Linked DNA regions of Mus musculus. The protein of the gene in region 1 interacts with the protein of each later gene in a biochemical or structural test. Links are inferred from orthologs where the notes say so. Each region holds a gene or a part of one and is shown in the gene's direction. Other genes may lie near its edges. The genes, in order: Chuk, Nfkbib, Bcl10, Map3k14, Map3k1, Nfkb1 and Cops5.

Region 1 (3,500 bases):
AAGGGTGTCACCGTTGCACCTAGCATAAGGCATTTTTATATGAAAGACTGTCAAAAGCGTGATAAACCCCCACCATGGCTGAGGAGCAATTAGCAGTTATGGGAAGGAGAGTCAGTTTTCTTTAAGGATGTGGTCCCTAGTAGTTTGACTATGTCCTGTTGTGTGGCCTCACATTCTTTTTTTTTTTTTTTTTCGGTTTTTCAAGACAGGGTTTCTCTGTGTAGCCCTGGCTGTCCTAGAACTCACTCTGTAGACCAGGCTGGCCTCAAACTCAGAAATCCGCCTGCCTCTGCCTCCCGAGTGCTGGGATTAAAGGTGTGCACTACCACTGCATGGCCTCACATTCTTTAGTGTATATATGATCATCGCATATTGGACCCTGTGGATTATTTAAAAAAAAAAAAGACATGAAGTTGGGAGGGGCTAGAGGGGTAGATCTGTGAGGAGTTAGGGGGAATAGTGGGAGTAAATATCAAAATACATTATATATACCTATAAATTTCTCAAATTTTTAGTTGATTATTATTTAAATAGCTTTAACCAGTCTAGTGTGCTTTACACTGTAATCCCAGCACTCAGGAAAGCAAGACAGGAGAATTACAGGTTCAAGACTAGTCTAGCCTATATAATACAGCTGTCTCATTAAATAAACAGACAATTAGCTTTAACACAATTACCTTGTTGTAGTAAAATATTCAGTTCTACTGCTACAACAGCTTATGTTCTACCTTGTTCTATGTGGTAGTGAGCCTGTCATTGTCTTGGTTTGTGTCATATTTTAGGTTGGTGTCATTGGTTATCTTGAGGATCAAATTATGTCTTTGCACACTGAAATCATGGAGCTGCAGAAGAGCCCCTATGGACGACGCCAGGGAGACTTGATGGAGTCTCTGTAAGAATGTGTCTGTGCTATTGGTCTTGATTTTAGAATACTTTGTTTGTCCTTCCTACGTATATCTGGGTTTTTCTTACCTCTAATATATTCCTATGATATGATTTTCTTAAAAACATTCAATTATTTTGTTGGGAAGAGGTGACATGGAACACATCACATTGTACATGTAGAGATCAAAGGACAGAAGGTGGGGTGATAGTTCTCCCCTCCTACCATGGTGGGCCCAGGAATTGAACTCAGGTTCAAGCACCTTTACCTTCTGAGCCGTGTCTCCAGCCCTTAGAATATCTTAAAAGGAAGCTCTTTCTTAGTCATAGGGAGTTTGGGAAATAACTCTCTGGATTGTTATCTCCTCTGCGTGTGTGTTTAATGTATATTTAAATTACAAATGATTCCCCATTTTCTTCCCTTTTGGTCTAAGGGATAATCTCCTAACTCCTCTGTTGAGGCTAATTTCCTAAACATCTAACTAGAAACTTCAGATTTTTCTCTCTGATCACAAGCCATGATTTTTTATTCAAGTTGTGTATTATTAATCATTAAGTTACTTGCACATACAGAAAGGTGTTTGTTTTTCTTTTTTGTAGGGAGCAGCGTGCCATTGATCTCTATAAGCAGCTAAAGCACAGACCTCCTGGTAAGACACTTCAGTCACAGTATTGAAAGGTGGTTTAGGAAACACCCTAACTGAACAAAGTGGGTAAATTTTAATGTTTTTTAACTTCATAGTATGATCCTGTTTTGGTATTCTTTTTGCAACATTTGTGGCATAATAGCTTTAAATTTATAAAAACTTAAAAGATTAGAAGAGGAAAGTAATAAGGATATTGAAGTAGAAAAGTTTTAAAAGTGAAGTGAAAAGAAAGTAGAGAAGAAAAAAAGAAAAAGAAAAAAAAGGGAATTTAGCGTTGGATCAATGAGTAAAGTGCTTGCTCTGATAAACCCAAGTCTAGATTCCCAGCACTCACATAAACACATGCATGGCAGCACACCCCTGTGGTCCCAGCAGTACTGGGAGAGCAAGGACAGATGGGTTCCTGGCACTCAGTGGCCAGCCAGTCTAGCTGAAACAGCAAGCTTAAGATTCAGAGAGATACCCTATCAACAAGTGAGGTGAGATCTGTCAAGGATGATCGTGACGGTGACCTTGAGCCTCTGCATACTCTCTCCCCAACAAAAGGGAAGAAATAGCACCAGCACCCCCACCCTCCTCACCCCCAACACACACACACACACACACACACACACACACACACAGCAATAAAAGGGTGTAACGGTTGGGGAAAAATAACCTAGAGAGCTTGGAAAGAATTCAACATAGTGGGTTCTGGGTGGGATGGGAAGAGAAGCCATAGTCTATCCAGAAGCAGTTTGTCCTGAAAAGCCTTGCCTTCACCAGCACTGGTCACTGCTCATGTCCTTAGGGAACAATTCATACTGCACACTGCCAAATACAGAGCACGGTTGTTAGGAGGAATGTAGGTTGGAAAGCAGAAGCCTTGAATTCTAAATTGGGTATTTTACTGACTAATCTCCAGTACATCTCCATATTTCTAGTCCCCTGTTGTGCAAAACAAGTAAGAACCTAGCCTTCTAACTCATTACACTTTGGCAGTGTATTTTTTGAGAACATGTTTATGAAAATGCTTTGAAAACAATAAGGTGATATACCTTTATTTTAATTAAATGTATTTATTTTGAAGGATTACATAAGTAATAAGGGATATCTGTGCTCTGGAATATATTTTTTTATTTTTTATTTTTTATTTTTCGAGACAGGGTTTCTCTGTGTAGCTCTGGCTGTCCTGGAACTCACTCTGTAGACCAAGCTGGCCTCAAACTCAGAAATCCTCCTGCCTCTGCCTCCCAAGTGCTGGGATTAAAGGCATGCACCACTACTGTCCAGCTTGGAATATACTTTTTATTTTAAAAGTTTTATATTACTTATATAAAATTTTCAAGTTTTAGATTTGAAAATTATAGACATATAGCAACTTTATATAATATTTATATTATTTTTTAAAAAACAGCATGCGTACACTGGGTGTTTTGTTTTGTTGACATTATATTTTTATTTTCTGTGTGTGGATGGTTTGACCTGTATGTGTATCAGTGCACCATATGTGTACAGTGCCCACGGAGGCCAGAAGAGAGTGTTGGATAACTGGACCTGGAGTTACAGGTGGCCATGTGGGTGTTCTGAACCTTATGTCTGTTCAGAGAGAGAGAGAGTGTGTGTGTGTGTGTGTGTGTGTGTGTGTGTGTGTGTAGAGAGAGAGAGAGAGAGAGAGAGAGTAGAGAGAGAAATATTCTGGGAATGAAGCTGAGCTGCGGAGGAGGTTTCTGGAATAATTAAGAAAGGACAGATTTTTTTTCTTCTTCTTTCTTTTCTCTCCCCCACCGCCTCTTGCAGTACTGGGGATCCAGAGCCTGTGTATGCCTGGCAGGCACTGATCTTCCTCTGAGCTCCAGTCCTACAACCTTCTCAAATCTCTTTTGAAACTCAAAGCTGAACTTGAGGTGTCTACTGATCCTTTTTATTAGTACTTCACATTTGGTTTATGTCAGCTTTTTTTCTGAGCTGTAAACAGATGGATTAGCATGA
Region 2 (4,167 bases), on another chromosome or scaffold:
CCCACCTCATAGGATCTGAGTTTGCGGATTGAACTGGAAAACCGTCTCTTTCAGGTCCAGCACAAATGAGGTTCAGAAGGGGCTGAGGATGGGATGGGCAACAGTAGGAAACGAGGACGATATGGAAGGGAACCAGGGGTTGAGGCTATACATTTTCCTTGACAGTCCCAAGAAGCCACCATTCTCCCAGGAGATTGTACTAATCCCCAGATGGGCTTGGGGATCAGGGCCATAAGCCAAGGGCCCTTGGGTAAAAGCCTTCCCTTGCCACCTCCCCCCAGTGCGGCACGTGGAACCAAGTCTCTCCTTCCCTCCACCCCTTCCCCATCTCACCTGAGCCTCCTGCACCTTCCCTGCCTGGGTCTCCAGAGGGTCAGAGGCTGGGGAGGAGGGGAGCAGACGTGGTTACAGTGCGGGGAAAGAGTTAAGCAGAAGGGCTCACAATGGTGGAGGACAAGAGGACCCACCAACCTAATTATTTCAGAGTCAGGGATGGTAGTAAAACTATCGGAGATGGGAAAAGGCATATTTTAGAGTGGAGGTATGTGTGACGTGAAAAGGCTGAGGAGGGGAATCTTTAGGAGGAGAAAGCAGGCGAGACTGGACTGAAGGAAGGTTTCAGAGTTAAGCAGGATATGGTAGCATGTGCGAGTCGAGAGAATGAGGGAGGGCTAAGTTTTTCAAGAGACGTAAGTAGGGATACTTCTGCTGAGAGTTGAGTGTGGGAGAGGAGATGCAGTGAAGGTAGGAGGTTTAGGAGAGGCACAAGAACTGAAGGAATGAGATAGTAAGGGGCCACAGGGGTCCCCGGAACCCATCCTACAGTTGCCCTTAACAACAGACAACCTTAGCAACCGGGATAGTGGTAACTTTGGTCCTTAGCAACGAGGGTCCTCAGCAGCCAAAGTACGAGAAATGCGATCATTAAGAACTTGACAATCGGACCCTTACATTTCACAATCCAGAAACCAACCAACCTAGTAATACGGACCACTTAGCAACACCCCTCCGAATCCCACTCCCTTCAGGTAGATCCTGTCTCCCGCCCCACCGAGCCTACCCTCGGGCCCCGGGGCCTGCAGCCCAAAGCCAGGCCCCGGCGCGGCCCGACCCTCCCACCCTCCCAACAGGGCCCCTAACTCACGGTCCGGCTCGGCCATGGGAACGGGGTGGGGGCCCTCGGGACTGTCACCGACTGCTCTGTCCCGTGACGGCAGCGGAAACAAGAAGAGGCCGAGATAGGATAGAGAACTACAACTCCCGGCAGGCAATGCGATCCCCATAACCGCTTTCGTACAATGTGCCTCTCATGTTATCAAACTACAAATCCCAAAAAGCCTGGCGCCGGCGGCCATATTGATAAAGGGCGTCTGGAAAATGTGGGGAAACTCAGCGAGCGAATGTCCACCTCATTTTTCTGATTGGCTGTGGTGCAGTACAGGGGCGGGGTGTAGCTATTTAAAACATTTTGATTGGGTATATGAGGGGGCGTGTTGGGGAATTCCCGATAGGGCGGAAGCACTGGAGCTCATCGCAGAGCCCAGCGACAGGCAGGCGACCACAGGGGGCCACCCGAGGTGGCTGGGGCCATGGCCGGGGTCGCGTGCTTGGGGAAAACTGCGGATGCCGATGAATGGTGCGACAGCGGCCTGGGCTCTCTAGGTCCCGACGCAGCGGCTCCCGGAGGACCAGGTCTGGGCGCAGAGCTTGGCCCAGAGCTGTCGTGGGCGCCCTTAGTCTTTGGCTACGTCACTGAGGATGGGGACACGTGAGTAAACCTTAAATTACTAGACTGAGCCCTGGGATCTTACCTGAGTCCCCTTTAGCCTACGATTCCTGTGACTTCGTATCGTCTCGTTCCTAACTCTTGATTTCCGATGCTGGACTTCCTGGCCCTTAACCCCCAAACACTAAATTGTGAGACTGGTACGCTTTCACACAGTCAAGTGTCTCACCTTTTTTGAACTCTATAAATTTGAGCTCCTGATCCCCAAATCGGATCTGAACCTTTCCGACCACTCTAGTTCCCACATCTTCTTACCTCTTACTTCCAGATGTAGTCTTTGGTCTTTGGCTATTCTTGTATAAGCCAGATTTTGATTTCAAAACTAGTTCTTGGCCCTGAGTCTCTGAAGCTGACACGTCCAGTATTGACCCTGCAGTTAAGAAATTGAGCTGGTGGGTGTCATGGCTCTCACAGCACTTGGAAGGCAAAGGCAGGTGGATCTCTGTGAATTTGAGGCCACCTGATTGAGTTCCCTGCCAGCCAGAGCTACATAAGATGTAGAAACTCTATTCTATGAGGCTAGATTCATCTGTTAGCCAAATGCTTCTCCCAAACTACCACCTTCCAATCCCTGGTTTTAGTTTAGCTGAGTGTGATGGTACACACTTGTCATTCTGGCACTCGAGGGGCTGAGGCAGGAGGATCACTAGTCCGAGGACAGCCTGGAAGGACCCAGTATCAAAAAGGAGGGAAGAGGAAAAGGAGGAGAGGGTGACTGAAAAAAGGTTAAAGAGTAGGAAATGTTGATTAGTAGATAAGCTGGGGAGAAGGGATGGTTGTGGTGACGGCGTGCATTAAGGGATTGTACCCGGGATTTTCTTGTCCTTTGTGCTTATTGCGTATGCCCAGTGACTCAGTGCCTGACCCATGAGGGGAACCCAACAAACACTCATCTTAAAGAGCCAGGAGTAGTTGCCTTAGTTTTCACTTTCTACTTTGTTGGTTCCTGTTCCTTTATTATTTCCCTCTGGTTACTTTGGGTCTGGTTTTTGTGCTTTCTTTATCCTCCCCCTTCCTTTCTCGATTGTTTGTGTTTGACGGTCTCATGTAGCCCAGGCTAGCCTTGAGGTTACTTTGTAGCTGAGGATAGCTTTGAACATTTCATTCTCCTGCTTTCAGCTCCCAAGTGGGTATCACTACATCCCGCCTGGGGAGTGTGTGTGTGTGTGTGTGTGTGTGGACTAGAGGGCAACCTTGGGCTGCACTGAGCACGTAGGCTAGACTAGCTGGCCTGAGAGCCTCAGCGGTCATCTCTTGCTCTCTACCCTCCTCTTCCTCTTTGAGACAGGGTGGCTGGCCTGGAACTCACTATGTAAACCAAGCTGGCCTCAAACTCATCCACCTGCCTCTGCCTCCGGAGTGCTGGGATCAAAGGCGCGCACCACTGTGCTCCATTCCAGGGTTCTCCTCCCTAGTGTTGGGACTATAAATACTTACAATCACACCCAGCTTTTTCTTATGTGGGTTCTAAACTAAGGTCACTGTGCTTTACTTAGCAAAACATTTCCCAGCCTCCAACCCCACCCCCCTTTTAAGTCAGTGTCTCACTATGTAGCCCAGGCTAGCCTTGAACACTACTGTAAAAAAAAATGAATCCTTTTTTTTTTTTCTTCCGGCCACTTAATTCCCAACAATAAGGACTCTGGCATTAACTATTTATTAATAAATGCCTTGGCTACAAGCTTTGGCCCATTCCATAGCTAACACATAACTTATTTAACCCATTTAAATCATTCTATGTTTTCCTTCAGTCTCGGGCCTGCTTCTTCCTTAGCATCGTCTTTCTCGGTGTCTCTCTCAGTGACTCCTCCAGTGTCTCTCCCTGTGTCTCCTTTTATTCTCTCACTATTTCCCAGAATCCTTTCTTTTCCTGCCAGTGTCCCACCTCCTATTTCCTGCTTCAGCTCATTGGCCGTTTGCTTTTTTATTGACAGGTGTTGCCTATAAGAGATTCTGTCTACACATTATGAAATTTTTCTTTGGTTTATTTTATTTATTTTTGGTTTTTTGAGATTGGGTTTCTCTGTGTAGCCTTGGCTGTCCTGGAATTCTCTATGTAGAGCAGACTGACGTTGAACTCAGAGATATGTCTGCCCCTGCTTCCCAAATAATTTTACTTTATGTGTATAAATGTTGGATCCCCTGGAACTGGAGTTAGGGATGGCTATGAGCCACAATGTAGGTGCTGAAAATCAAACCGGGGTCTTCTGCAAGAGCAACAAGTGTTTTTTGTTTTTTTGAGACAGGGTTTTTCTGTATGGCCCTGGCTGTCCTGGAACTCACTTTGTAGACCAGGCTGGCCTCGAACTCAGAAATCCGCCTGCCTCTGCCTCCCAAGTGCTGGGATTAAAGGCGTGCGCCACCACTGCCCGGCAGCAACA
Region 3 (3,500 bases), on another chromosome or scaffold:
TGACAAGGACCTAAGTCAGGACCTTTGTAAGTTCAGAATATTGAAGGATGGCAGATGGTAACAAAATGAAATTAGGGATGTGGGCTAAGCAAACTCTTGAAGGTCTTAACACTTTTTTCTCTTAGGAGTCATACTAACGAATTAATAGGGTTTTGTCTGACTTTTAAAGATCTGCCTGCCTTTTCTGTAGACCAGGAAGATGAGGAAAAGTGGGAAAGGGCATGGAAGGACTTGGATACACTGAAAGGCAGTGATGATATGGATCAAAGTGAAGGCCGTAGACATGGATGGAACACAAGCTCGGGGTGCATGCTAAGAACGTGGACAGGATGGGAGTTGAAGGAAGAGTAAGAATGAAGATCAGAAGAGATTTCTGCACTAGAAATACAAGCATTCTGTTGAAAAGATGAGAACCAGCTCCAAGCTCTCGAGCTGCAGCCCTCATCATCTGAGAACGGGATGGGAAGCACAGAGAGAAGTTTCATAGAGATCAGAAACAATCAGGACAGTGCCCTGTATGCTCAGCAAGGAGAACGTGTCTGGAGGAAGGAGTGATCAGCTGTGACCCTGCTCTCAGAAGCCAAATATGATGAAGGTGGGAAGGACCCGTCAGTAGAGGAGGTCCTCGGTGACTTGGGGGAGAGCGTGGGACACAGTGGAAACGCCTGGGGATGAAGTGGGGAATGTGATGAACAATGGAAGAGGCTGGGGCTGCGAGACAGGCGTGGCCAGCTCATCCTGGATGTTAAAGTACGGCTTCCCAGCGATGACCAGCAACCTCAAGCTTCAAAGATGAAGGGAGCTCAGGGTATGAGAAGGAAAACTCAGGCACATAGCAGCATGAAACAGTGCTAGTCCTCGATTGTAAGTGGAGCAGAAGTCCTGCCATAGGGTACTGCTGAATCAAGCTGGAGAGGTGGCCTGCTGTGGGCTTGCCTGCCATGAGCTTGCCTGCTGTGGCCCAGTAGTCACTAGTCATTGGGCCTCCACTGTAGAAGGAACTGGGCTGAGCCTTCATGCACACTATCCCAATTAGTCTTCCTAGATGGGTTTAATTCTTTATCCTTATTTTGCCAAGATCCTGAAGGCCCAGTGGTACCAGTTTGTACCAGTTCTCACAGAATGTTACAGATTCAGGGTTAGCAGAAGTTTGACTCATTGCACAGCCATGCTGTTCTTAAGGACTTTTTAGATTTTTTTTTTTTAAATATTGGTATTTTGACTGCATGAGTGTATATATACCATGTGTGTTCCTGGTGTCTACAAAGGTCAGAAGATGGTGTCAGGTCCTCTGGAACTAGAGTTGTGGAGTATTGTGAGCCATCATGTGGGTACTTGGAAGCAAACTCATATAGTCTGCAAGAACAAGTGCTCATACCCACTGAGCTATCTCTCTAGCCCAGTGCTCTCAACTACTGTGCTGTGTTCAGGACTATCCAATAAATCATGAGCAGACACTGTGTTGGTATAATTTATGTAATGGTTCAGATTTCTATTTTCTCTTGAAAATTGTAAAATCTAATAGATGCATGAAAGATTTGAGAAAGAGGAGGGGATTACAAAATGCTATTTTTCTGTTAGCAGTCCATGCAGGCTTTACGGACCATGCATGCCCAGAGTGGTGCTGAAGTCACGGTGACTGGTCTTCTGATAACTTACATGGTCTTCCGATGACAGCCCGTGTGTGCTGTCTATTGCCCGGCTAAACCAGGAGCCCTCTGTATGCAGTATTAAAACCTTGTTCATCTTTTCATATTCACACTAGAAATTTATACATACGAAGTTTACTGTATAAATAAATAAATGTGTGTGGAAATCCAGTAGACAAAAACCTGTCAGACGCTGAGCGGTACTTGGAAGGTACTGAGCGTACGCCTTTAATCCCAGCACTCCGGAGGCAGAGGCAGGTGGATTTCTGAGTTCGAGGCCAGCCTGGTCTACAGCCTGAGTTCCAGGACAGCCAGGGCTACACAGAGAAACCCTGTCTCAAAAAAACAAAAAAACCTGTCAGACGCCTTCACAGGGACAGCTTTGCAGGCATTGTTACTAAGGTGGCTCTACTGAAGCTCCCACCGCCTTTACCTCATCGCTATGAATGTGAGTCTGGTTAACCACCATCATTGCCCTAACGGGATCAGTCACGGCGCACCGTGCCGTTTCTAAACACTCTGCGCATGTTAATAATCCCTCTCAACTATCACATGAAGATGCAAACACAGTTAATTTGCCTCAAATCCCATGTCTAGTAAATACAGGCACGAATATGCAATGACTGGCATCAGATTGTCACCACTTATTGAGACAAACGTGGACCTGATTTAAACAGCACACAGTGCATGCCTGAGAATTAATTACATGGTACTTCACTAATATGTACACTTTTTTATGTTTCAATTAAAACTAATGAAGTTAAATACTTAAGACTAGCCTGAGCTAAGCTTTCCTTTTCTTAGTTTTTTTTTTGTTTTGTTTTGTTTTGTTTTGTTTTTTTTAGAACTCTTTGGTTCTCTCTGTTCCTCTCTGTACTTCCCTTTCTTCTCCCTTCCTTCCCCGAGGACTGACTCAGCAATGACCTACCTACCTCCCTCCCTCCCTCCCTCCCTCCCTCCCTCCCTCCCTCCAGGACTGTCTCAGTGAGTTGTATCATTTTTCTAACTAGCCTCAAAGCAAAGACATATGGCCCTTGGGAGGATTTGGGCTTTGTGTGTGTTCTAATGGTTTCGCATTGAGGTGATGTACTAATTAATAATACACATGAAACAGCCGCAGATTGTGAGACTCCACACTAAGTTGTCCTGGTCCTAATTCTGAAATTCTCTACTTGATAGTTACTACAATTTACAGACATGTGTTTTTAATCTTTACTCCTGACCTAGGTGACCCTCTGCAGGTCCCTCCTCACAGCAGCTGGGTGTTAGTTTTCAGGGGTGAAGGTGAAGCAGAACAGGGCGCTCTGAGGACTGTGGGACTGGCTTCTGCTGCTGGGCATCATCTTTCTCAGCATGCACTTAAAGGACCCAGGCCTCCCTCCCTCCCTGAGAATGTTGTCTCATACCAGTTAAGATGTGTAATTACTAACCAGTCACCTGCGATTTTCCTCCGTGTTACAGAGTAACATTGAAGCTTTCTTCTTTTTTCTCTTAGGCTTTAGAGAATTTACGTGTTTACCTGTGTGAGAAAATCATAGCTGAGAGACATTTTGATCATCTACGTGCAAAAAAAATACTAAGTAGAGAAGACACAGAAGAAATTTCTTGCCGAACTTCAAGTAGAAAACGGGCTGGGAAGTTGTTAGACTACTTACAGGAGAACCCCAGGGGCCTGGACACCCTGGTGGAATCCATCCGCAGGGAGAAAACACAGAGCTTCCTGATTCAGAAGATAACGGATGAGGTGCTAAAGCTTCGGAATATAAAACTGGAGCACCTCAAAGGTGAGCAGCGGGAGAGAGCAGACAGCGAGGAGAGTGGTGGGTGGGGGAGCAGACAGTGAGGAGAGCA
Region 4 (3,500 bases), on another chromosome or scaffold:
GCCAAAAAACATATAATAATAATTTAAAATTATTTAAAATGTGTAATTTAAATTATTTAAAGTTGTTTAAAACGGTTTTCCTTTATATATGATGTGCAGCACATGTGTGCAGTACCCATGGAGGGCAGAAGAGGGCATTGGATCTCTGGAACTGGAGTTATAGATGGCTGCGTGGATACAAGGAACCAAATCCATGTCCTCTGCATAAGCAGCCAGTGCCCTAACTGCTGAGCCATCTGTCTCCTCTTATCTCCCTCTCATTCCCCTCCCCACACCCTTCCTACTTGCCTGGCAGTGTGTGTGCACACGTGTGTGCGTGTATTACATTGAGTTTAACTAGGGTCATTTGCATGAGTATGGATGTGAGGTTATTTACTGGAGCACGGGCAATTTACCAGTGGCTACACTCTGAAGAAAATAACTCCTGTCTCTCTGAAAGCCCAGCAGAGGAATCCTTTCTTTTAAAAAATGACTTATTTTATGTGCACTGGTGTCTTGCCTTCGTGTATATATGTGTAAGGGTCCCCTGGAACTGGAGTTACAGACAGTTGTGAGCCACCATGTGGGTTCTGGGAATTGAACCTGGGTCCTCTGGAAAAGTAGCAGTGCTTTTCATCACTGAGCCACCTCTCCAGCCCCCAGAGGCATCCATTTATACTACAGTGCCAGTAGAGCAAGGTTCCCACAAATGGAATGTTTGTGATAAATGTTTCAAGGTTGGCTTCCCTACCACTCAGGGTGTCTAGAGGATGAGAACACTAGACAGAAAGAGCCAAGAACCTCTCACGTGACCCCCATACACACACACACACACACACACACACACACACACATGCACCACACACATGCACCACACACACACACACATGCACCACACACACACCACACACACACACACACACACACACACACACACACGCAGGCAAGCACTCATTTCCCCTCCAAGCATGCTTAATCTATGCTGACTACATAGGGCCTGGGACTTGACCAAGTCTGTGTTTGGCCCGTCAAGGTGAGCACGAGCCTGGGAGATGGCCGTGATGGAAGTGGCCTGCCCGGGCACTCCTGGGTCAGCAGTCGGGCAGCAGAAGGAGCTTGCCAAAGCCAAGGAGAAGACACAGTCACTGGGGAAGAAGCAGAGCTGCATCTTCAAGCTTGAGGCCGTGGAGAAGAGCCCCGTGTTCTGTGGGAAGTGGGAGATCCTAAACGACGTGATCACCAAAGGCACAGCCAAGGACGGCTCTGAGGGAGGACCACCGGCCATCTCCATCATCGCCCAGGCTGAATGTAAGGACCTGGGGTTGCTATGGATACAGTGGCAAATGAGTGGGCTCACAGATGGGTGGCTGGGCACAAGAGGCCAGCCTGGGAGTCCCCATGGAGAGCAAGGTCAGAGTGACTGTTCTAGAAGCATCTCCCAGACACAATTGAGGGTCTAGCCACCCACTTAGGAGCTGTAAATATGCTAGGGTGGATCATGGAGGCCAGAGCAAATAGAGGCTGTGCCACTGTGACCCAAACAGGGAGCAGCCAAGAGTCAGGATTGCTTAAGGACTCTACAAGATCATCAAGCTGGCCCTTAACCTTCCACTGAGCATTGAACGGTAGCCTGCAGAGAGGCTCAGACAGGAAAGGCCAAGTCTCCTAGAAAGCTCCTCTGGCCTACAGACCCTTACCCTGTTCTTATGCCTGCTGTGCCAGTCTCTGAGCTGCTAGCCTCAGCAGGAGGCCAAGCCTGGCTTTCTCCACTTCTACTCCTATTGCCTCCAGATGGTAGATATTGATGGCTGCCTGGGAAACAAGAACTCCTTGGGGCGGGGGGGGGGGGGCTCAGTAGCACCAGAGCCCCCTTCCCTCTATCAGTACCATCTTCCAGTCCAGGTGTCTTGGGCTAGAACCCAGAGAACCTGGCATCTCTCTCCATGTATATGCAACCTCTGCCTCACTTCCCGAGGCTTTTCCTAACCAGGAAAGAACACTGAAAATGAGCTCAAATGAGCTGAGTGCACATACAGTGACATGCGTGTAAACAGAAATACGTGCCAGCTTGTTTATCAAGGGGGCAACTGTGTGCCCTGTGGCATGTGGGTGTTCTAGGAGGCGTCACTGGTAAGCTGGGGCACAGGGTAGCCCCAACAGTGAGAGAAGATTGTGGCGGGGAGGTGAGCCACCAGACAGAGGAATATGACAGGGAAAGGAAGTGGCCACTGGGGCCCTGTCTGTAAAACGCTCTCTCCTAAATGCTTTGTCTTTGTTCCTATCCCTGCTAATCTGACCCTTTTCCCTGGATCACAGGTGAGAATAGCCAAGAGTTCAGCCCCACCTTCTCAGAGCGCATTTTCATCGCGGGGTCACAGCAGTACAGGTAAGGAAGCCAACTGGAGCTGGGAAGAAGGGAGCCCAGGCCACGCCCACCAGGCCTCTGGCCCCCTGCTTCAGCACCTGGGCTCTGCTCCTGGCAGCCACCCAGCTTTCCTGGCCCAGCCACTCGCAGCCAAGTCAGCGTTTCAGAAGCTGCCCCTGGCTCCGTCAAACTTGACATTTTATTTTTACTCTACCCTGAGTCCTTGAGACACCTCTGCTTTCCCCTCAGCAGGGAGGGTTCTGGGAACAGTAGTGACTCTGAACTTGTATATAGCCATGAGCACAGTCCAGAGGGGCTACTTTCACCATCCTTTAGGGAAGACACCCCTAGGGGTCAGGGTGGGAGCTTCTGTCCTCCTTACGGTCTAGGCAATTCCTTGTGTAGTTTCAGGCATCTCTTGACCCTGAGGATGAACTCTTCTTTTGGCTGCTGGAGAGAAGTCTGGAGGCTCCCAGCATCCCAGGAAGGGCTGTGGCTGTGGCCGTGGTCAGAGCCGATGGCTGTTTTCACAGCACCTCCTTCAGACCCTTGCCTGAAACAAGTTCCCATAATAACTAACATGGGTGGGAGCCTGGCAGATCCTTGGTAGCTACACCAGCCAGAAAGGGAGTCTATTTGTCAGCGTCTCATGTTCCCATGGCAATTAGATACGTCTAAGGGCTAAGGGGAGAGATAACAGAAACTCTGCCCTGTCAGAGCTAAGATGCCTGCCCCAAGAGGGCTGGCACCTGGAGAAGGACTGAGGGTCCACCCCAGGCTGTGCAAGCACTTTATAGGGCAACCTGCTGAGCAGCCAGGTGCTAAGGCTTATGAACTGCTCCCGTTTCGACCTCATCACCACCTCAGTGTGGTATAAATACTTTCATAAATGAAAAAATTTGGTATTCCTGGTGGGGGGGTGTGGGTAGGAACTAGCCCACACTAAGTACAGAGGTACAACAGACCAGTGTTTTGGTCAACAGTGGGCCACATACACAGTAGCAGTCCCATAGGCTCACAGCAGCTCTTGGTATACAGCTGTCCGAGTTTGCGCTAGTATACTCTGTGATGCACAGGCAGACTCACCTGACACCGCGCTTCCCCGCACGCGTCCCCTGTCATTAAGCATGCGTGACTGCAGTGACAGAGCCGGCTT
Region 5 (4,191 bases), on another chromosome or scaffold:
TGTACCTTTTAATGTAACCATTGAGAACTGTAGCGTGCCAGATGTTATAGCAGTAAGTATAACACCGAGCTCAAGCTGAAGTCAGGATCCCTTTTTAAAAATCCCTTTTGCCTCACCTTGCTCTCTGGCTGACATTACACACCTAAGGAGGGCTTCATTTGATCTACTTTGGAGAGGTTAAATGAATTATTTTGAGCTAGTTCAGGCTTTTGTCTAAATGCTGGAGAGATCTTTCCTTTCTCTGTAAGATGAAAACCCTTCTTACCCCTCCCCCCACGCCTCATGTCTTAATGTTTCACAAAATAAATCTAGAAATCCTGGGTTCTGAGAGATTGTCTATTCTAGACAAAGTGGCTAGGGGAAAAAAAAGTGGCAGAGGCGGGTGAGATAGGGACGACAAGGCAGCTTTATCCCGTTGAAAAAGGGTCGAAGGGGGGAAATCCCATATACGTATACTGCTTTTCTATCTCCAGCACATTTTCTAGACTCTGGGGCAGGAGAAAGGCGAGGGACGCCGCACAGGGCAACCAGGGAGCGGCGGCGGGAGGGAGGTGGGGGACCCGGGAACCGGCCTGTCACCTGACTGCCAGGAAGAGGGACGTGCAGCTGGGAGCATCTGTTGGGGGTGGGGAGAGACCTGGTAGAAGATGGCATGATCCAGCGCTTCCTGGCATAGCGCTGGCTCCTTCCCCAGACGTGCTCTCCCGCTTTCGGTTGGAGCCTGCCTTTCCAAGACGGGGGAGTAACCTCTGGCAGAGTACCCGGGTTGGTCCCTCTGCGTAGCCGGGGGAGTGGGGGGGAGGGTGTCCCAAACCAGCAGCTTCAGAGGTGCACAAGGTAGCGCAAGAAATCTTAAGTAGTGTTATTTGTGACACGAGGGCGGGACAAGAGGTCTGCTTTCCTAAGAGAAGGCTTCGCGTCCGCCCGTCTGCGGCAGGCGACAGTCCCGGGGCGCCACCTGCGCTTCGGGCGCGGGCCGGGCCGGTGCGCGCGGGGGCCCCCCCAGCAACCGCTACTAAACGCGTGAAGTGACAGACCGTGAGTCCTCCGGCTTGCGTCCCCTTCCAGAACCAGGGACTCACGCTCGGATTACTGCTTGCTCAAGGGTGGGCGAGCTCCCGCCGAGCCGCTGCCCCGCCCGGTCTCGCACTACCTGGCGGCGGCCTGGTTGCAGCGCACAACGCCCGGCGCCCGGTTCCCCGCATTGCCCCTGCCCTCCCACCTGCGCCGCGCGCCCGCCCGCCGCTCCGCGCTCCCGGGCCCCGGCCGGGAGGCGCGGCCCCGCTCGCGCCCGCGCCCGCGCCCTCGGCAGCAGCGCGCGCCCGCCCACCCGCCCGCCGCTCCGCCCGCCCCCCGCGCTCTCCCCGCCCCCTCCCTCCCCCGCAGGCACGAGCGAATGTAGCCCGCGAGAGAAAATGGCGGCGGCGGCGGGCGATCGCGCCTCGTCGTCGGGATTCCCGGGCGCCGCGGCGGCGAGTCCCGAGGCGGGCGGCGGCGGCGGAGGAGGAGGAGCTCTCCAGGGAAGCGGCGCGCCCGCAGCGGGCGCGGCGGGGCTGCTGCGGGAGCCTGGCAGCGCGGGCCGCGAGCGCGCGGACTGGCGGCGGCGGCAGCTGCGCAAAGTGCGGAGTGTGGAGCTGGACCAGCTGCCGGAGCAGCCGCTCTTCCTCGCCGCCGCCTCGCCGCCCTGCCCATCTACTTCCCCGTCGCCGGAGCCCGCGGACGCGGCTGCAGGAGCGAGTCGCTTCCAGCCCGCGGCGGGACCGCCACCCCCGGGAGCGGCGAGTCGCTGCGGCTCCCACTCTGCCGAGCTGGCGGCCGCGCGGGACAGCGGCGCCCGGAGCCCCGCGGGGGCCGAGCCGCCCTCTGCAGCGGCCCCCTCCGGGTGAGCGGCGGGCCGGGGCCGGGCGGGCAATGAATGAAGCGAGCGGGGCGCGCTGCTCCCGGGGCTCCGCTCGTTGGGGGTGGGGGGGGAGCCCGCGTCCCCGAGCCCTGAAGGTCGGGCGGCGCCCGGGACGGCGTGGGGACGGGACGGGAACGTGCGGGAGAGTTTGTTATTGTTTGCGGACATGTGACAGGCGTGGAAGCCGCGAAGGTGCGGGGCTCCCCGGGCCGGGTCCTGAGAGCCCCCGCGGCGCGAAGTGAGTTTGGGGGGCTCGGAGCGCGAAGGTGACGGCGGTGGGTCTGCGCGCTGTGACAGCCTAGAGCCCCTCGGCCCCACGGGGACGCGCGCCCGCGGGCAGGTACCGGGCCGGGCTCCGGCGGCGCGCCCCGGGCGGCCGGGGGATTCCGGGGACTGCGGGGGGGGGGGGCGCCTGTCAAAGCGACGCAGGCGGACGCTGCGGGCTCGCGGGGCGGCCGGGTCTGCGGGGACTCCGTGGCTGCCCTCGCTGCGTGTCCTTGGGAATTCCTCCCGCACCTCGGGGGCTAGAGCGCCCGGTGCTGGGAGTTTGAATCCGGCTTTGAAGTTAGCTTTTGGCGGAATGCTGTGGGATCCAGGACCGGATGTGTCAGCCATTCAGCTTCAAAGCTGTGGGGACTGCGCCCCGCAGCCCCGCTGCGTGGCGGGGACAGGGACGGTGCGGGGCTGCCGCTTTGCTCGCAGGGGTCTTCCGGTGCACCAGAAGTAGGATGTGCGTAAGATAGTTTACACCAACGGCTCTTTGGCCTCGCCCTGTTTTGGCTACTGGAAAGTTTTCTGTTAGAGGAAATTCTTTTAAGTATATGATACTTAAAAAAAAAATCTGATGAAAATACACAAAAGCATAAAATCTTGATGGATGTGTGAAGTTGCTGGATATGTTTTCGTCATCGTCACCCTGTGGCCCCCCGTAGAATTTCTTGACGTTTACTGTGGGTGGAGAGTGTTTTATTGTGTGTCGAATCTGACAGTAGGAATCCTTGGTTTCGGTTAGTTATCTAAGTAATTTGACCCCCTTTTGTGCTCTGGATTGTTTAAAATCACGGTCCGTTTATTACTTGGAGGTCGTTTTCCCTCCTCCCAACCCCCAAGCCCAGTAGTAAAAAGTGTGTTGACCCCTGGCTGTGGCAGGATTGGGAGGAAGGTAGGCAGTAAGCAGCCCCGATGCAGCTTTTCTGTGTGTGTGCCCTGTGTGCACTTGTACACGTATCTTCCTCTAGGGTTTCCTGTTTCTGTGCAGATTAGATTAAAACTAACCAGAATAATTCTTAGGTGGCAACTCTTACTACAGATCAACTACAGATGAAAGAAAAAACAGTAACTCAAACTTTGAGGAATTAATTTTATCTAGTCCTGTGAGACCTGATTTTTTTTTCTATATGATAATACAGTTGGCCACACTTAAGCATTTATAAAGTCAATATAACCACCTATGAATATACCATGAGCAGCAACTGCAAAAATGACATATAGAACTTTAGTGTTGCCTCTAGAAATCAGAGGACCAAGGTGAGGGCAGGTAGAATTGAATACCTGAGTAATCTGCTTGATTTTTGCGCATTCTTCTCTCTCTCTCTTTATCTCTTTAAGCAGTGGCTTATAATTGTAAAAGCTGTCTTTAAAATAAATACTGCTAGCTAGAATTCTGTTGGTGCACCTCAAATGTTATATGTGATAGTTTCATTTGCTGTAAAATATCGATTGTCAATCCTTTTGAAATAATACTAACACCCCCCCCCCCCACACACACACACACCCCGCCTCCAGTTTTTGTAACTGGTTTGAAATTCATTTCAAATCTGCGGGTCTAAAACTTATATCATGAAGAAGGGGTTATCCAGAAATGTTGTTGTGTTTTGGGTTTCCTGTTGTGATGTTTTATTATTTTCTCATTTAAAATCTCGGGGAAATGATTATACGGCATGTAGAATCTCAGTTGAACAATGTGGTTCCCTTTTCAAGTAGCGCACGTTCATGCTTTGAAGAGGAAGATCTAATGCTGATATTTTCGGTTTGTTTTCAGTAGTAGTAGAGAGCCAAAGACCCCTCTGCATGTCTAAAGACCTAACGTATTTTTCTTTTGTTTTTTTTTTTTGTTTGTTTGTTTTTTGTTTTTTTTAATCCAGTTTCTAAACGTTGGATGTAGAAATTGAATGTTTAGAAAATACACATTTATAAAAAGATAAGCTATGGGAAATTCATTAAAGTCAAAGATTGCATGTATGTCTGCCCTCTCTCCTTCAGTAAAATAACTCAAGCCAGTGAAAGTTTGT
Region 6 (3,500 bases), on another chromosome or scaffold:
ACAGCAAGTTCTGGGCCAGCCTCAAACACAGGAAGACCCTCTCTCAAACAAAACAAAGCAAAACAACTCCACAAAGCCAAACAAAGAAACCCAAAAGTTATGAGAATCACAAACGCTGCCTGTCTATGTCCTTGAGGCTAAGAAGCTGGTATGGCAGGGAATGTTTGTGCCCATTAACTGAGTGAAGCCAAGGTGGGAAAAACTGGGGAGAAAGGTCTGAGGGCTCCAAATCAGAGCAGCTTTGCCTTGAGCTCAGGGGAGAGGTTCCATCCACAAAGAGCTGGGTCGCACACAATAGAGCCTGCTTCCGCAGATCCTATCACCAACAGCCAGCAGGGCTTCCTGAATCCAACCTCCAGCAGCCGAGGGAAGCAGGTTTTGCAAAGAGGATTGGGAAGTAGCAACTTCCTCTTCTTCAGTTTATTCTTATACTTGTGATGGTTAAAAATGCAATCTGCCACTTGTCTGCTATGAGGTAGCCTGGGTGCAGGGGTGATGCCTTCCTCCACCTCGCCTCTCACTACCTGTGCAGGCAGTCAGGAGAGCTGGCCTGGGGTCATGCAAGGGGGTGAGCTAGCCCTGTCCTTCACAGGCTTTCGAGAGCAGGCCTTGCATCTAGCCTGTGCTGCAGAGTAGAGAGGACCCTCGTGGAGGGAGCACAGTGAGCAGCCCTGAGGGTGTGAGAGCAGGAGAACTGGCCCTGCCCCTCACTCACAGGCTGTAGTGTATGGGAGAGTGGGTCCTGCCCTTTGGGCAGCACAGTGGAGCCAGCTCTGGAGGCATAGGGAGATCCGACAGCTCCCTATTTCCAGATGTGACTGTTGCATGTATACAGGAAGAGTGCTCTTCCAGTGTTGGCTACAGACAGCTGCTCTGGGAAGACATGTATTCTTTAGTGTGCTCACATGCACTCCACACGGTTTTATACATACATTTCCTATCCCACATCAGCCTTTCCCTTTAAGTTTCGATTTAAAATACTTTCTCAATTCATAATTTTTGCAAAATTCAACTGAGAGGACCTGTATATTTCCTGAGATTGAACCAGACGCTTACCTCCTAAGTTCCCCCAGCAGTTACATCCTACTTAACACAATAATACAATTAGGAATTGCAACAGATTCTAATCAGATCTCAATATTTGTATGTACTCATATGCATGGATAGCTCTGTAAGATTTTTTTTTTCCTAAGCTGAACATGGTGGTATTGTGTTTTAGTTCCTGTTATTCAGGTAGCTAAGGCAGGAAGAGTCCTTGAATATAGATGTTCCAATGTAGCCTGGGCAGAAAGCAAGACTGTTTCTAAGCAGAGTGAATGAATGAATGAATGAATGGTCAATCCATGTGCTTGTGGATGTGTATGTAGCATTGTACTGTGTCCCTGTCTTGGGTCTTCACGCTGTTTATCCTTTAGTTTCATAGACAGCTGGTTTGTTCTCATTGCTCCTGAAGAGAATGCTGTCATGTCCCCTAACTAGCTGCTCACTGTCCACAGGCTGTGCACTGCAGTGAGCACCTGCACTGTACCCATGGGTGCCACAAGTGGGTTTCAAGGGCAGTGTGAGCCCTGAGCTCCACAGATGGATTCTAGGGATTCCTTGAGGCACGCATTTTATGCGTGTGTAAAATGTAACCCTTGGGTGTTGGTGGCCCACCAGCCACTGCTTCCCAGCAGGAAGAACTCCCTGAATGGGAGGTCGGGCAAGTCCTCACTACACAGCCTGGGCTTCAGTGTAAAGCGCCTACAACACAGACTGGCTGGCATTGAGAGTTGGTGCTACTCTCTACCAGTGATCTCAGCTTTTTGACAGACACTTTTGTGATTGGGTTAGCCCCACTTGTTTCTGAAAACAGTTTTCCATGCGTCCTACTTACAACCATGGAAGCACAGCTTTGAGGTCAGGGTAGTCAGAAAGACCTCCCAGAGCCTATTATGCACAGTGCCTGGGATTGTTTTCTGCCTGAACTTTCTTAGGGAGAGTGCTGTATTGGCTAACTATGCCCTGAGGATCTGGTAGCACCTGTGATAGTATTACAGTGGAGCTTGTATCTGTGCGTCTCTTGAAGCCAGCCTGCAGCAGTGTGTTCTGGTTTAGCCTATGTACTTCCAGACCATTGTGGAAGGATGACATCTTTCTTGATTGCTTTCTTTTAATAGTCTATTTATGTTTTGTTGTTAAAAACACAGCATTGGTTCGATTTGCAAATGTATAGAATTACCAGCTATAGATAGATACCTATCAGAAATTCAGAGAAATTAAATTTTCTTCTACAAGAGTTAAAAAAAATCATGTAGCAAACGTATCCCATAACCCCGACTGTTGAATGCTGGTTCTCTCCGTGGGCCTTTGAGCCTGGCATGCAGAACAGGAAGCTCCTTGAGTGACAAATGTCCCTACAGTATGACTCCATAACGTAGCCTGAAGCCAGGGGCTACAGACATCCCTAAGCAATGGCTCTCCCTCTCCTTCTCTGTGTAGACACCTCTGCACTTGGCCGTGATCACCAAGCAGGAAGATGTAGTAGAGGATTTGCTGAGGGTTGGGGCTGACCTGAGCCTTCTGGACCGCTGGGGCAACTCTGTCCTGCACCTAGCTGCCAAAGAAGGACACGACAGAATCCTCAGCATCCTGCTCAAGAGCAGAAAAGCAGCGCCCCTTATCGACCACCCCAATGGGGAAGGTAAGAGCAGTCGCCTTGCTGGCTAACCGTCCCCTCTCGGCTGCAGCATAAGGGCTTGGCATTTGACAAATGCATCTGACATGACTTTCACCATGAATACTCTCCTCAGCCAGCTGGAGTTTGTCATATCTTGTGGTTATTTCTGCTGTTTATTACAGCAAACGCCCTTAAAGAGTATTTGTGAGTATTGCTTAGTAAGTGGAAAAGCAAGCCCGAGCAAACATTAGTCTTTATAAAGCATCGTGTGTGTGTGTGTGTGTGTGTGTGTGTGTGTGTGTGTGTGTGGAGAACGTTTACATAGTAGCTCAGTGTCTCCCGAGAACACAGTGGGAGCTTGTGGCTTCTGAAAGTAGAACAGTGGACCGTCTGAGGCTTTGAAGCACGCCCTGAACAGAAACCGGAAGTGCTGCGACCTGGTGGTGTCCCTCCTCCCCGCAGCCCAGCTCTGTCAGTCTCACCCACATCTCTGCCTTTGTTCGGCCTTAGGTCTAAATGCCATCCACATAGCTGTGATGAGCAATAGCCTGCCATGTCTGCTGCTGCTGGTGGCTGCCGGGGCAGAAGTCAATGCTCAGGAGCAGAAGTCTGGGCGCACAGCGCTGCACCTGGCCGTGGAGTACGACAACATCTCCTTGGCTGGCTGCCTGCTTCTGGAGGTAAAGGCGTACTTGTGATCTTGACCTAAATCCCCCTGGAAGTTTTAGGGAAGTCTTTTCAAAGAATGACTCTAGGGCCAGCTCGCTGTCAGTATTCCACTGTCTGCTTTCTGCATCCCCAGCTCCAGCCCAGCTCTCAACCTGGGGATGCCAGTGACAGA
Region 7 (4,279 bases), on another chromosome or scaffold:
AGGCTAAATCCCAGCCATCCAAGCCCAGGACGGTCTCCAGTCACGAAGTGTGGATGTGAGAGAAGGAATGTCCGCACCAGCAGTCTGGTCAACTCTCTGTCCTGGGCTTTCATTACCATTTCAACATGTTATTCTGTATGTTTCGAGTGGCTGTGTATTGTGACCACTGGAACAAGCTTACACAAGCTTCTCAGAAAGAACTTAAGATACTAATGTACTCTAATGTCCCTAGTGTGCCCGAAGTTATACTTTAAGAAGATTCTATTTTTATTTTTGGTTTCGTTATTTTGTCTCCAATAGTCCAGGGAGAAAGCGGGGTTGGAACTCTTGATTCTCCATTCTCCACCTCCCAAGTACTGGAATTAGAAGAATGTTGCAATGTCCTTGCTCTGTTTTGTTTGCCCAGCTCCTTGACTTTTTGAAACAGGGTCTCCTGCAGCCCAGGCAAAAGCACCTGCATTAGAAGAGGATACAGACGGGCAGTAGTGGTGCACGCCTTGAATCCCAGCACTCAAGCAGGCAGCTCTCGAGTTTGAGGCCAGCCTGGACTACATAGTTCCAGAACTGCAAAAACCCCGGGGTCCAGGTGAAGCAGCTACAGAGCCTTCGAATTCCTGTGAAGGAGCAGTTACTGACGAAGAGTTAAGGAAAGGCATCTCCGAGCTGTGCTTTTTAAAATCTGTGTGCTCTAAAGCAGAAATGTCAAGAAGTGCATTTCAAGCAATGCCTAACAACTAATATATTACTAAGCCAAGGAAAAAAGTTCTAATAGAATGAAAAACTGGGTTGGGGGAGCTAAAAGAAGATGATGAAGCTGGAGAAGTCTTTAAGAACCGTGTTACGAAAAAAATTAAATATATTAGAATTAAATAAAACACAAATTTCATGCATGCCTTCAACTTACAGTCTAGTGGGCAATTGGGGATGAGAATGTGAGGGAAGAAAACCTAAAAATACGACTGAAACAAATTTCACATTAACTGCTGGAAGGCACAGGTTGCGGAGATTAAATCTGCACTGAGACAAACCTTTTTTAAAAAGTAGCGCCTAAGGCATTCACCGCTCCTAACACTTGTATAAAATGTTACCCTATAAAGTCCCTAAAAAAGTTAATCTTAGCAACCGGTAACTTTTGCTTGCCACCTCGCAACAGTAGCGAAAACACAAAAGCGGAACGCCAACCACAAACCCCGGAGGCTTAACACACCGCAAATTATCTTAAAAGAGTCACGCGATCTTCCCCCTCCAAAACCAATAATCCGGAGATACTTACACCTCTGTTTCTCTAGAGATATTTAGTATTCCAAACAATTTATTTCGTTTGAAGCACCTACACTCACATAAACATAATTCCCCAAACTCAAGTTTCCTCCTACACACAATATGGTGGCATCTGAGTCTGCGCAGTACGAGCCGAGCCGGCCGACTCCTTCCTGGCAGGCCAATAGTCCCGCCTTCCGGCGCGAAAGGCTGTACCATTCCCACACCGAGGCTTTGCGTCCCTCGCAGTTCACACGAACGGATTTCCGAGCCAGCATGTTCTCGTTTCACCGGCAAGACTGATCTTAGCCGAGCCGAGCCGAGCCAACCCTAAGGAAGTGTTTTCTATGTCGCTGCGCCGCCGCCGCGCCCCAGCGCGCGAATGGTCTGGACCAACGTCACCTCCGGTCTCAAGTGTCATGGCTGCCTTGAGAGTCTAGTGAGTGTGCACCCTGGTGGGGAAGGTCCAAAGCCCGCACGCTGAGGCCCAGTAGAAGAAAGTTGCATCTTGATTGTGGAGCGACAGCTTCTCCGGTGCCTCGGCCATGGCAGCTTCCGGGAGTGGTATGGCCCAGAAAACCTGGGAATTGGCCAACAACATGCAGGAAGCGCAGAGTATCGATGAAATCTACAAATATGACAAAAAACAACAACAAGAAATCCTGGCGGCGAAACCCTGGACTAAGGAGTGAGGAGGTCCCTGGCGAGACGCAGGGGAGGGCAGGGATGGCGGGACTGTGAGAGACCCGCGAGGGGTGGGAGATGAAGGGTGTGGTGAGCTTGGCTTTCTGTGGGGCGTCGACCGAATATTGGCCACAGTGGCCTTAGTCTGCCTTGTCAGTAGAGCCTTACCTGTCCTCTAGGGCCTGCTTCGATTCCCCTTTTAGAAAGTTTCTTGCCTTCAGGGCGTGTAAAGGGCTGACTTGGGGTGCGACTTTTGTCAACATGATTATTTTTGTAAATCTCACACACTCTGCCTTGAACCTGGTGGCTACATGCAGTTAGTTGCAGCCTTCAGTAGATTCCCAAACTGAAGAGCGTGGCTGTTTTTATAAATCGAATGAGCAGAGCATTGATTTAAAAAAAAAAAAAAAATCCATGAGCTCTTGGATTGATTGGTTTGGTTTTTTTTCAGCTCTTTAGACACATACCAAATCCTCTTAGCAGTTCCCTACAATACTACTACAATTCATGTAAACCAGGAATTATAAGAGAGAGCTTAGAAGCATTTTCCCCAGCCAAATCCATGTATCTTTGGGATTGACGACAAGTCAAATGATTCTTTAGAGCAAATTGTATTAAGGAGAGTGAAGAAAAAAATTACAAAAGGTTGCTGAGTAGACTGTCTTGCTGTCTCCAGGTGTTTTGTTCTGATGGCACAGCTGGCTTTAACCGTCAGTACTCTGTTTTCAGTGTTTATTGAGTTCTTACTGTGGGCCTGGCACTGGCCTGAAGATTTTCGTGTCTTTTAATAATCTTGACAATCCAGGATTCTTTCCCTTTCTGTAAATAGAAAAATAAGCAAATACATTCAGAAACACACCTCATGGTCATACTATAGCAATGAGCTTAGGTTCAATAGACTGAAAATCAGGTCTCAATAACTGTCATTTAGACTGTTGACTGGCATTAGGAAACTAAAGTATCTAAACTTATCTATAAGATAAAGGTTAAACGTAGCTATTAATGATGTCATGAAGATGAGATAAGGTAATTTATTAAGAAGTTCTGGATGAGCCATATGTAATGAGAGCATAGTAATGGTTGTTTTTATCTTTTTCCCAAGTAGATGGAAAAGCCAGTTTTTTAATTTATATCTTGATTTCCAAGATGGTCTCAGTAACTTTGAGCTTGTGGTTGAAATCTAACAAAAGCTATATTTGGTTGCATGCATCCAGTGGGCCATGGCAACGCTGAGTGCCCCACACAGATTACTTAGCTGTTTCTAAAGCAAGCTGCGTGATTTAGGTGGATGTAAACTCAAGACTTCTTCACCATCTATGGCTATCCTAACATGTAGGGTATGTCAGGGATTTTAAACTGTTGTTCAAGAGTTTAATCACATACAATGGTTAGTCAAAGAAGTAAAGATACTAGATCACTCTCAAGATGCTATCAGAAGGAAGCCACAAGCTAACACACTTTTTTTGAGAATATCTTAAAACAGGTTAATAAGGCTGATAACAGTACCTTAGGTTTTAGTGTCTGTGGGACTAAGCACTTACTGTGTACTTTTCATACTAATAGGTGACATACCTATTTATAGATATGTGACATAGACATTAAGTGGCCCTACTCTCTCAGGTAGGGAGTGTCAGTGTAAGATTTTAGACCTAAGCAGGGCAATTTCAGAGGCAAACATTGTAGAAATTAAATCCTCTGGCTCTGTAGGTAATAATACTTGCTATCAAGCATGCAGACCTGAGTTCAAATCCCCAGCATCTATTGTAAAAATCCATGTGTGGATATGTGTGTGTGTAACCTTTTAGCATTGTATTGAAGGATGGCAGAGAAAAGGAAGTCTGTAAGCTGGTCAGTCAGCCAAAACAGTGAGCTTTCAGTAAGAGGCTCTCTCTGTCTCAAGGGGATGAAGTAATAAAATAGAGGAAAATGAGCTGGGCATGGTGACACCCACATTTAATCTCAGCAGAGGTGGGTGATCAAGTTCCAAGGTCAGCCTGGACTACTGGACAGCCAGGTTATACAGAAAAACGCAGTCTTAAAACAAAACAAAACAAAAGGTAGAGAAAGACCCCTGACAGTCCCTGTCATCTCCACATGCCATCTGGTGGCACACTAATAAACATGTACCACAGATAATAAATAAATAAATTACTTAATTAATAACTCAGTAAATTAAGGTCAGAAAGCTAGGCCTAAGAAGGTAATCAAGTATAATAATTCCATGATGATTGAGAAAAAAGGCCTGTGGACTTGATCATTACTCCCTCACCTCAGCAGTATATTAAAGTTTATCCCAGACTCTTTATTTTACCCAAGGGGCTGAGCTGTGACTGTG

What was found.
Region 2: of the proteins of Chuk (region 1) and Nfkbib, one has a biochemical effect on the other in vitro, tested with the Homo sapiens proteins (2 studies listed by BioGRID). The link is inferred for Mus musculus from reciprocal best matches to the Homo sapiens genes CHUK and NFKBIB.
Region 3: the proteins of Chuk (region 1) and Bcl10 form a complex in vitro, tested with the Homo sapiens proteins (2 studies listed by BioGRID, with this or other methods). The link is inferred for Mus musculus from reciprocal best matches to the Homo sapiens genes CHUK and BCL10.
Region 4: of the proteins of Chuk (region 1) and Map3k14, one has a biochemical effect on the other in vitro, tested with the Homo sapiens proteins (5 studies listed by BioGRID and IntAct, with this or other methods). The link is inferred for Mus musculus from reciprocal best matches to the Homo sapiens genes CHUK and MAP3K14.
Region 5: of the proteins of Chuk (region 1) and Map3k1, one has a biochemical effect on the other in vitro, tested with the Homo sapiens proteins (3 studies listed by BioGRID). The link is inferred for Mus musculus from reciprocal best matches to the Homo sapiens genes CHUK and MAP3K1.
Region 6: of the proteins of Chuk (region 1) and Nfkb1, one has a biochemical effect on the other in vitro, tested with the Homo sapiens proteins (3 studies listed by BioGRID and IntAct). The link is inferred for Mus musculus from reciprocal best matches to the Homo sapiens genes CHUK and NFKB1.
Region 7: of the proteins of Chuk (region 1) and Cops5, one has a biochemical effect on the other in vitro, tested with the Homo sapiens proteins (2 studies listed by BioGRID). The link is inferred for Mus musculus from reciprocal best matches to the Homo sapiens genes CHUK and COPS5.

Annotation. Positions count from the first base shown.
Region 1 is NC_000085.6:44,079,978-44,083,477, reverse strand, and holds part of Chuk (inhibitor of nuclear factor kappa-B kinase subunit alpha), read left to right. Parts: intron 1-782; coding exon 783-892; intron 893-1,482; coding exon 1,483-1,532; intron 1,533-3,500.
Region 2 is NC_000073.6:28,763,845-28,768,011, reverse strand, and holds the start of Nfkbib (NF-kappa-B inhibitor beta), read left to right. Parts: upstream 1-1,367; 5' UTR 1,368-1,589; coding exon 1,590-1,768; intron 1,769-4,167. Other genes in the region: Sirt2 (NAD-dependent protein deacetylase sirtuin-2), read right to left, coding at 334-380, 1,145-1,160. UniProt on the Homo sapiens protein: Inhibits NF-kappa-B by complexing with and trapping it in the cytoplasm.
Region 3 is NC_000069.6:145,927,262-145,930,761, forward strand, and holds part of Bcl10 (B-cell lymphoma/leukemia 10), read left to right. Parts: intron 1-3,144; coding exon 3,145-3,433; intron 3,434-3,500. UniProt on the Homo sapiens protein: Plays a key role in both adaptive and innate immune signaling by bridging CARD domain-containing proteins to immune activation.
Region 4 is NC_000077.6:103,239,902-103,243,401, reverse strand, and holds part of Map3k14 (mitogen-activated protein kinase kinase kinase 14), read left to right. Parts: intron 1-1,012; 5' UTR 1,013-1,031; coding exon 1,032-1,287; intron 1,288-2,295; coding exon 2,296-2,365; intron 2,366-3,500.
Region 5 is NC_000079.6:111,806,194-111,810,384, reverse strand, and holds the start of Map3k1 (mitogen-activated protein kinase kinase kinase 1), read left to right. Parts: upstream 1-1,391; 5' UTR 1,392-1,415; coding exon 1,416-1,882; intron 1,883-2,319; exon of another isoform or gene 2,320-4,191. UniProt on the Homo sapiens protein: Component of a protein kinase signal transduction cascade. Activates the ERK and JNK kinase pathways by phosphorylation of MAP2K1 and MAP2K4. May phosphorylate the MAPK8/JNK1 kinase.
Region 6 is NC_000069.6:135,594,048-135,597,547, reverse strand, and holds part of Nfkb1 (nuclear factor NF-kappa-B p105 subunit), read left to right. Parts: intron 1-2,481; coding exon 2,482-2,683; intron 2,684-3,169; coding exon 3,170-3,339; intron 3,340-3,500.
Region 7 is NC_000067.6:10,035,339-10,039,617, reverse strand, and holds the start of Cops5 (COP9 signalosome complex subunit 5), read left to right. Parts: upstream 1-1,479; 5' UTR 1,480-1,607; coding exon of another isoform or gene 1,608-1,699; 5' UTR 1,700-1,805; coding exon 1,806-1,948; exon of another isoform or gene 1,949-1,956; intron 1,957-4,279. Other genes in the region: Cspp1 (centrosome and spindle pole associated protein 1), read right to left, coding at 1,274-1,479. UniProt on the Homo sapiens protein: Probable protease subunit of the COP9 signalosome complex (CSN), a complex involved in various cellular and developmental processes.